Drosophila melanogaster: one gene and its partner. The protein of the gene in region 2 interacts with the protein of the main gene of each other region in a pairwise test. Each region holds a gene or a part of one and is shown on either strand. Other genes may lie near its edges. The genes, in order: HP6 and CG14535.

Region 1 (3,267 bases), 3.3 Mb from region 2:
TTGATTTCGAAATGCCAGGCGGCGCCCCATTTTATTTCGCTTCTTCTCTTTCTTGTGCGCTTTTGCCATAAATCTTGCATAAATCGATTTAATCTGCCCCTGGCCACGCCCACCTGCTGGTGGGCCCCTCAATTAATTATACTTTTTCAATGTCAAAATGTCGCTGCAAGAAAGGTGCGCCACCAATTTAACCCTTTTTTTTATGTACGTATTAGTTGACTGCGTGAATCTTGAGGCGCCTGCAACATGGAATCTGAGAGCTGAGTCTGATCCTGCGGCTTAACCTTCTTTTCTAATTGCAGGTTTTCCAACGCCCCGATGTGAAGGTCACTGACAGCATTAAGTGCACTGGAAAAAGTTTAATGAGGCAAGTGCACCATTTATGAACTGTTTTTTTTATGAACTTTCAAATACCCCTACAGACTTTTCGCTCGGTGTATACATACACGTATAATTTCGCGCCCGGCAGATAATGCCGCCGGCCTGTCTCCAACATCAAGCTGCGTCTAGGAGGCGGAGGGCGTGGCTGGGCCGAGCTAAACTCACTTATTCACCTGCCCGCATGCCAACAAAGTGCAGCATCAGCAACCAGTTCGCATGAAAATGCATAATCAATCACCAGCGACAACGGCGACCAGAAAATGAAGAAAAACTCGTGGCAGAAGAGTCAATACTCTTTATTGACATTGCACCGCAATGTCTTCGGTGCACAATAGTTTTATGGACTAGGCATTTCGTGATCGTTTCTTCCTGGGACTCGGAGTGGTCTCATACCCATTGTCCGACTCCAAGTCTTCTTCATCGCCCTCATCCGTGAACACAATACGCTCCTCGTAGAACGAGATGACCATTTGGGGGCACCGAACGTTGAGCACTTCGGCGGGCACCAGGCCGGCTTCGTCGCAACCCTTCCACTGCATCAAAAAGGTCAGCTTACCGGACCAGTTGCAGGCTCCTAAGATCCGCAACGGTTCGAGTCCAAGATCAAATCCATTTCGTTGCTTCACCGGAAGAGCAGTAGAGGACGTCAAAGTGGAGCTGGGCATCTTCCGTTTGGTTTTAGATATCGTGGGATTTATTTCAATGTAATCTATTTTTCTTTTTTCGACGCGCGTAGCCAATTGTCACGTTTTGTCAAGTGTTTACACACCGAGATATTATTTTTCAGTTTCGATAACTGTAGGTATCGACATGCTTTGGCAACCCTTTCGATGTGGCAGCCCTAAATGATTAATTTGAAAAGCGTTAGAGAAAATGGAAATAAAATTGTACACTCCCCTTGACTGGACATATTCTTTCAGATTTAGTTAGGGTATTGTGCATTCCAACGCCCATTGAGCGTATCATTGGTGCATCTTCATCTGACATTTCGCACGACTCGAATGTCAAGGCGCGATTGCCGGCGATACTACTTGCGATATTGGCCTCTTACGCGGCTCCACTTGTTAACTTGAATTCGTGTAAAGTGGCCGCTCATTAAAAACTCATAAATCAGGGCGGAAGGGAGGAGGGTTTTCGGTGGCACCGCCGCCAGTAATTGCCGTTGCTGGCCCAGTGTCAAAATAAAGGCAAAATAAAGGAACCCAACTCGTCGGCGGAAATGATCGGCCACCAGGTGATGGGGATGGTGGGAATGGGGCATATGGATACTACAGCTAGCTGCCAGTAATTTCCGCATATTGGAAGTCTCGTACTCTCAGATGGGCATGTGATTAATGATTAATCTGCTCGGTGCATCCGCCGCTATGACATTTAGCCAACGCCGCCTGAGAACCCGCTGCAGCAACAAAAAGAATCCGATTCGGAATCAGAAACAGAAACAGAAGTCGGTGGCGGGGTGGCCAGTTAAAGCCGAGGTCTCCGGTCGCCAGTTGGAGCCATTAAACGCCGCTGGAGCTGCTTGGGCGCACAATTTAAAGCAGCAACTAACGCAGTTAGACAACAAACCACTTTCAAGAGCTGGCTGGCAAACAGGGAAAACGGCTTTCAACTCGTTTCGCTGCCCGCTCAGATGCAGTTGCATACACTGAGGAAAGTGATGTATGAGTTCTTCAATTTAATCGATTTTTGTGTAAGAATATTTGGCTCGGTGTGTATGTATTCCAGAAAAATAATTAATTCCAAAAGTATTTAGAAACAACATAAACTTTTTCTACATTTTCCAAAAGCTTTTATATTTAAGAACATATATATTATTAGTTTTTCATAGGAAATAATTTTCCTTCTCAAAACATATTTTTTCAAGTGTACTGCCGTTAATGCTGCTGATGCCGTGGGTGCAGCCGTTGAATGTTGCATGCTGCTAGTACGTTCAACTTTTGCAGTTAACAGTTAGATTTTGAAATGGCCAGCAGCACTGGCATCGTCGTCGGCAATGGTATCGGTTCTCTGGGATTCCAGTTTTCTGGCCACAGCCTGAGAACCCGGCGATCAAGATGCGCGGCTCCACCACGACGGAAGGAAATTGCCGTCCAAGGCGAAGTCACAGCTCCGATCGCAGCATTGCGCACATCAAATAAATACTGGTACTTGGCAATTTTTGTGTTAAAACAAAATTAAAGCAATGCCAGCCGTGCTGCTCTGCGGTGTAACATTAACCCAAATACATAATTCCCATTCTCGCCTCATCGGCATCGGACAAGGATCGGCGCATTAATCATTGGACGGCAGGGGGACAGCTCTTGGGAAGCGGCAGCATATTTGGGTTTATGGGTGAGCCCCAGTATCCTAAGCAGGAAATCATTAGAGTGCGATCCAAGGAATCCGCAGGGGTTTGGCTCATGCATACATACTTATACGTATTTCTTGGGAATTTTTTTATAGATCTTGGCTCTGCCTGATGGTCGGTTTCTAAGCCATCAAGCGGAGATCATCGCGTGACTGGGCAACAAAAACCCATTATAAATTCCTCACATTTATGATGTGTCCTTCTGTCAGCGATGATAAAAGATCCTACCAATCTGTTCTAGTCTTGTGAAATAGTCGTGTTTTGGTGGAGATAAATATATATTGATCATGAGTGTAAATAAGCTTGCCAAGAGCTGTTGGAAACTATTTGTGCAACATATCCACTTCTAAGAAGGTAGGTTTTTCGCATGGGCATGTGAAAAATAAGAGCTTTAAACAAAATCTCCATCTTATCCCTTTATTTCGCAGATCTTCACCTCAATGGTACAATATATTGATATATATGCGACCAGGCGAGTGAGACATTACAAGCGATGTCCGAGAACAATGTATATATCTTGTCAGCAGGGATGCGGCTCG
Region 2 (5,123 bases):
GGAAAGTTTTGTTGATTTTGAGAAAAGCAAAGTACACTGGCAAAGTGTTAACTCTCAGTTGCCGGAAGTTTTGTAGTTTTTTGTACATAATGAATGGTTTTATTGTCAATATTGTATTACCCTTATTATTATTAGGTGGGCCTTTTGTTTGTTTATCAAGAATTAATAGCTGTTAATAAGGGTTATTTGCCACCTAAATTATACTGTGTGTCAACAGTAACCAATCAAGTATTTAGTTTACTTGGTAACGGTTGCTCTTGTTTGTTATTATTTAAACAAATTTGCTATTTACATTTAAATAAATTAGAATTAATACTTTTAACTACATATTTTTCAAACGATTTTTAGAATATTTCAACTTGATTTAATTGATGTTATACTTATGATGTTTTATACCTATTTCTTAAACTTATTCTGGATCTAAGGATGCTTTAAATAAATTGGTTCAACATCCATGTGTGAACGTGCACTCCATTCAGATTTTCGTTAAGGTTGAAACTCACCTGCTTATCCTCGCCAGTGAAGAGGTTATCGAATGCAAACATTTTGGGAGCGGCCACCATGGGCGCCCGTTCCTGGGCAGCCTGGGGCGGCGGACACGCGGTTCTCGGATCGGTGAGCGTGACCTGTCGCTTCTTCTTGTCCAGGGCCATAAAGTCCGGCTCGGTTCCGCCGGAGTTCCTGTCCCGGTCCGCCACCCGCAGCATGACCTTCACCTTGCCCACTCCGTAGCACTCCCGGCTACTCAGGCGTCGGATGAGGGTCGGCGGCATCGGCGGCGGTGCCCGCTGCAATGCACCACAGAAGCCACCGTTGCGGGACATGTTTGACGTACTGGTGGTGGCCATGGTTCCTTGACTATTGTTCGCCACAGTTGGCGGTGGAAGTTTATTGCTGGAAGCACTTGCGTTTCCTTTTGTGGGGAGGGGTAACGAATAAAATTGGGAGTTAATAAGAGGCCCAAATCCTGGCTTTTGTTTTATGTCTGGGGATCTTAAAATGCAATCGTCACTCCCCATAAACTTTGTTTGTTTTTTGGGGGTTTTATGGTTCTTTAAATAGTTGCTGGGCCTGTCATAAATTGCGATTTCGGTTCGGCCCGATGGGCATAAGTTATTTGGTCCTGCCGCCAAGAAGGGTCCTTGCCCTTCGGTAATGGCCATAACACTTTCGCTTTATGGTTATGGGCCATCTGTTTATTGGGCATATGCTTCACTGTACTATCATCACTATCACGCTCGCACTGTCACTGTCACTAAGCTCGTGTTTTATTCACTTGTAGCATCTTGTGCATAAAATCAAATTTATGTTGAATTTGCTTGGGCTTTTATGGTGGGAAATTATGCGCTTCGTTGTCTTTCTAGTGTTCTTTTGGGACTGTCGTATTTCACATCAGTTTAATTCTATTTGAAAAGTTTATGTACACGCTTTTAAGTTCCTTTCGGTCATTAAAAAAAGTTTTAAGCCCAGACTTTTAACAATTTTCAGTTCTTTGTTGGAGCTATAAAGTGTTTTAGAGGTTTTGCATTCTATTACCGAAAACATTAGGACTTTAGTTACAGTATTAATTAAAAAATTAATTAAAAACTTTTCTATGATTACTGTTAGAATTGATTATATATTTAAATGTGGTTTAATTTCTAATACCTTAAATTTAAATTTGTTATAGTCACACAATATTTCTGGTAAAGGTTCCGTTGCTTTTGCAAAGCTTTATTAACTTTTAAATTTTTATTTTTTTATTCTTGAGTTTAATTAAGTTATTATTTCATTTCTCTGAGGAACTGTCTGAACATCTTTAAAATGTTCCTTTGGGATGGGCTTTCTAAGGCGTGTCACTCAAACTTAGATATCGGAATGGCATGCTTTTGGGGCATGCTTCTTATCGTGCTTGTTATGTTTTATATCACTGAAATTATTAACTTTACTTGTTGTGCTGAACTTTACATATATTTGAGATATTCATGCAAATTCCACTGGATTTCTTCATTTTTACTTGTCAGTCGCGGGCCGTGACATTTCTTCAATGCCTTCATTATTATTATTTCAATTTGACTGGGGAAAACGTGACGTTTTTGCAACGTCTTTCATTAATATTGTCCCCCGATTCCCAGCCCCAATTTCCCCATTCCATACACGCTGGCCTCTTCTGTATTGCCATTCCATTGCCATCCCCTTTGAATGACAGGCAACAACTTCGGGTCGGTTCAACTTCATTTTTCAGGCTACGCGCACCTGCCAACTGGAGGGAACTTCTTCGGCAGCTTTTCCATTCTTTTATATGGGTTTGTCCCTTACTTTTTTTTTGCCTGCCCGGTTTCAGTTCGCTTTTTATTGGAGGACTGGCGTCGTCCACCTTTTGAGTTTTAGCTTTGGCTTTTCACACAAATCGATTGGCAATGCCTTCTAATTGTACACGACGCACAATAGGGGAGTCTAGCTGAAGTCAGGGGTTAAGGGTCCTGCGGGGTAGCGGGTAGGCGGGGGTTAAGGGATTTCCCTTTTGGCACAACACACACACACAAGCACACTGGCACGCAAACACACACGAAACAGGAACAAACACAAACCCTTTTTTTATGACTGGCAATTTCTCGCTGTTGATTTCATCTTTGGCTCAACTCCTTCGACTTTCCAAATTGCCTTGATTTCCTCGCACATGATTTATACTTTATATTCAACACACTGGGATTTTCCCCGATTCTCAGCGAGCTTTGTTGTTTTTCTTTTGTATTGGCTTGTCACTTTAGCGAATAATAAATAAAAAACCCGCCAGGCGCGAAAGCCAAACGCGTGCCGATTGCGTTGGCATTACAATGGCAACTGAAGTCGGGTTTTTGGTTTCGGTTTTGGTCTTCGGTCTGGGCCTGAATTTCCCAAGAGTTTTCCGCCTCTCTTTGGCGCAGGCGTGCCAGAAGAAAGAGCGAATCGCGTATGGTAACGCCACATTGCTGACCCCAAGGGTAGTCGGACTTTCACTCTTTCACTCTCTTTCGGAAAATCTCTTGCTTTCGGCCAACGACAGTGGCTTTGAGGCTCAGGTAAACAAAATCAGCGAGGCTAAAACAAAAGGAACAGCGTAAATGATGTTTATATTGTAGACGTCAAAATGCTCACTGGCCAGGAACATTAAAATAGAGTGATACCTCGTCTTTACTAGAAGATGTCCATGGTCACTCGATCTTTAAACGCTAGTAACCATTATTTCTTTACCTTAAAACAATAATGTAATGTATTATACAAAAAATATGTTTTACTTAAAAAAAAAAAAAATTTATAAAGTATGGTCTCATTGTTAAATATTTTTAAACACTATTACTAAACTATTAAAAGAATATATAGCTTAAGAAATAGATAACAAAATCTTTTTTATAAATACTTAAAAGTTGGTTATCCCCAAAAATTGAGTTAAAAGTGCAGGCGTTAGCATTCAAAGATTGAAATCCATAGCTTTTACCGCCTCTGGGATGCAACAGTACAAATACAATATACCTTTTTTCTGCGTGAGTACCTGGAATAAAAGGAATATGGACATGGTGATAGTTGAGCTGCTGGAGCGTCACTTAAGTGCCGCTTGGAGTTTCTGCTGATGGAGGGGGCTTTTTCAGGGGGCAGAGTGGGCGTGAGGTGATGATGGGGCTTTTCGTGGATGGGGATGGGTGAGTGGTGGGCAGAGGGGCCAAATGCAAACGATGTGTTTTTAAGTTCGCTTACATTTGGCAGGCTCGTGAAGGAGCTGTTGAGTGTGTGTTCGGGTTTAAAAGCATGTGTGCACCGGAATGGATGGGGCTTGCACGGATTTACCTCTACTTTTTTTCCATTTTTTTTCACCAAGTGGACAACGGTAACGGGTCAATTAAAGTGGACCCGGCTGATTGTTATTAAGGTGGCTGCGGGAAAAGGGCTGTAATCCAATCCGTTTTAAGGTGTTTCGCTACTAATTATCTTAATACTTAAGGGAAATTCCGTGAAAATCGTTTTTCCGCATCGAGCAAATCAAATTGTATGCAATCCAAGCGCCAAAGAAAATAAAACGCAAGCAAATAAACGAAACAAAGCTCAAGTTCGGTGAATGGAGATAAAAAGTTTGAGAAGCACTTGCGTACAGTTTGGAGGCTAGCTGCGGCGCCATCTGGCGGGCGAACATAACGTGGCAACGCCAACGGCGTTGTAGTTTGAATCTTGAGTTCATTAACATGCAATGAAAATAAGAAATCGTTAAACTATATTTAACATAAAAGTTCCTGCTTATCTGTACTACTGTTTAATATATTTTCATGATATGCTTTTATATATAATTTCAATCCAAGTATTGTCATAATTATCACTATAGCTTATATTATTTTTTATTTTTAGCGTAAGCTGAAAATACTTAGCATGATATTTATTTTTCCAGTAAAATATATATTATATCTATAAATTCTTATCAACAATATTGCGCTGCTGTTCATATTGCGCTGTTGTCATAATTATCACTATAGCTTATATTATTTTTTATTTTTAGCGTAAGCTGAAAATACTTAGCATGATATTTATTTTTCCAGTAAAATATATATTATATCTATAAATTCTTATCAACAATATTGCGCTGCTGTTCAGACTGCAGCATAGGAATTCACATTTAGTGCATTATAAACGTTCGTCTAAAGAGGTTCAATTTGCTAAGCATGTTCCAGCTGAAAGTTCTCCTATATTACGCAATTATCGCAATAGTTATAAATGCATCACCTTCAGGATGCGAGGAGACAGATCGTGTCGAAGCCTCGAAGCGCTGATGCCATTGATCGGTCACATTGCCCAGCACCAGGAACAGTGGAAAACCTGCAAGTTGCAAGAAATACAGGCCCAACAGAGGGATATTGAAAAAGAAATTGAAAGCCAGAAGACATCGCTAACGGAATCGTGGAAGAAGATCATTGCAGAGGATATCGAGAACAGAACCAATAGGTCAGAACTTAAGATGGAGGGTCAACTATCTGACCTACAGGAAGCATTGACTAGTATAACGACGTCGCTGAAGAATATGTCTGCGAAAATAAATATTTTACATAGGTTCAAGCGAATCGGATCGAGATATTTGCACATCGAAGACATAGTCCAACAAAATTGGACCAGTGCTTTGA

The links.
Region 1: the proteins of CG14535 (region 2) and HP6 interact in a two-hybrid assay, tested with the Drosophila melanogaster proteins (one large-scale study listed by BioGRID).

What each region holds. Positions count from the first base shown.
Region 1 is NT_033779.5:4,577,058-4,580,324, forward strand, and holds HP6 (heterochromatin protein 6), read right to left. Parts: upstream 1,162-3,267; 5' UTR 1,047-1,161; coding exon 726-1,046; 3' UTR 662-725; downstream 1-661.
Region 2 is NT_033779.5:7,852,454-7,857,576, forward strand, and holds the start of CG14535 (uncharacterized protein), read right to left. Parts: upstream 3,023-5,123; 5' UTR 2,571-3,022; intron 914-2,570; 5' UTR 849-913; coding exon 504-848; intron 1-503.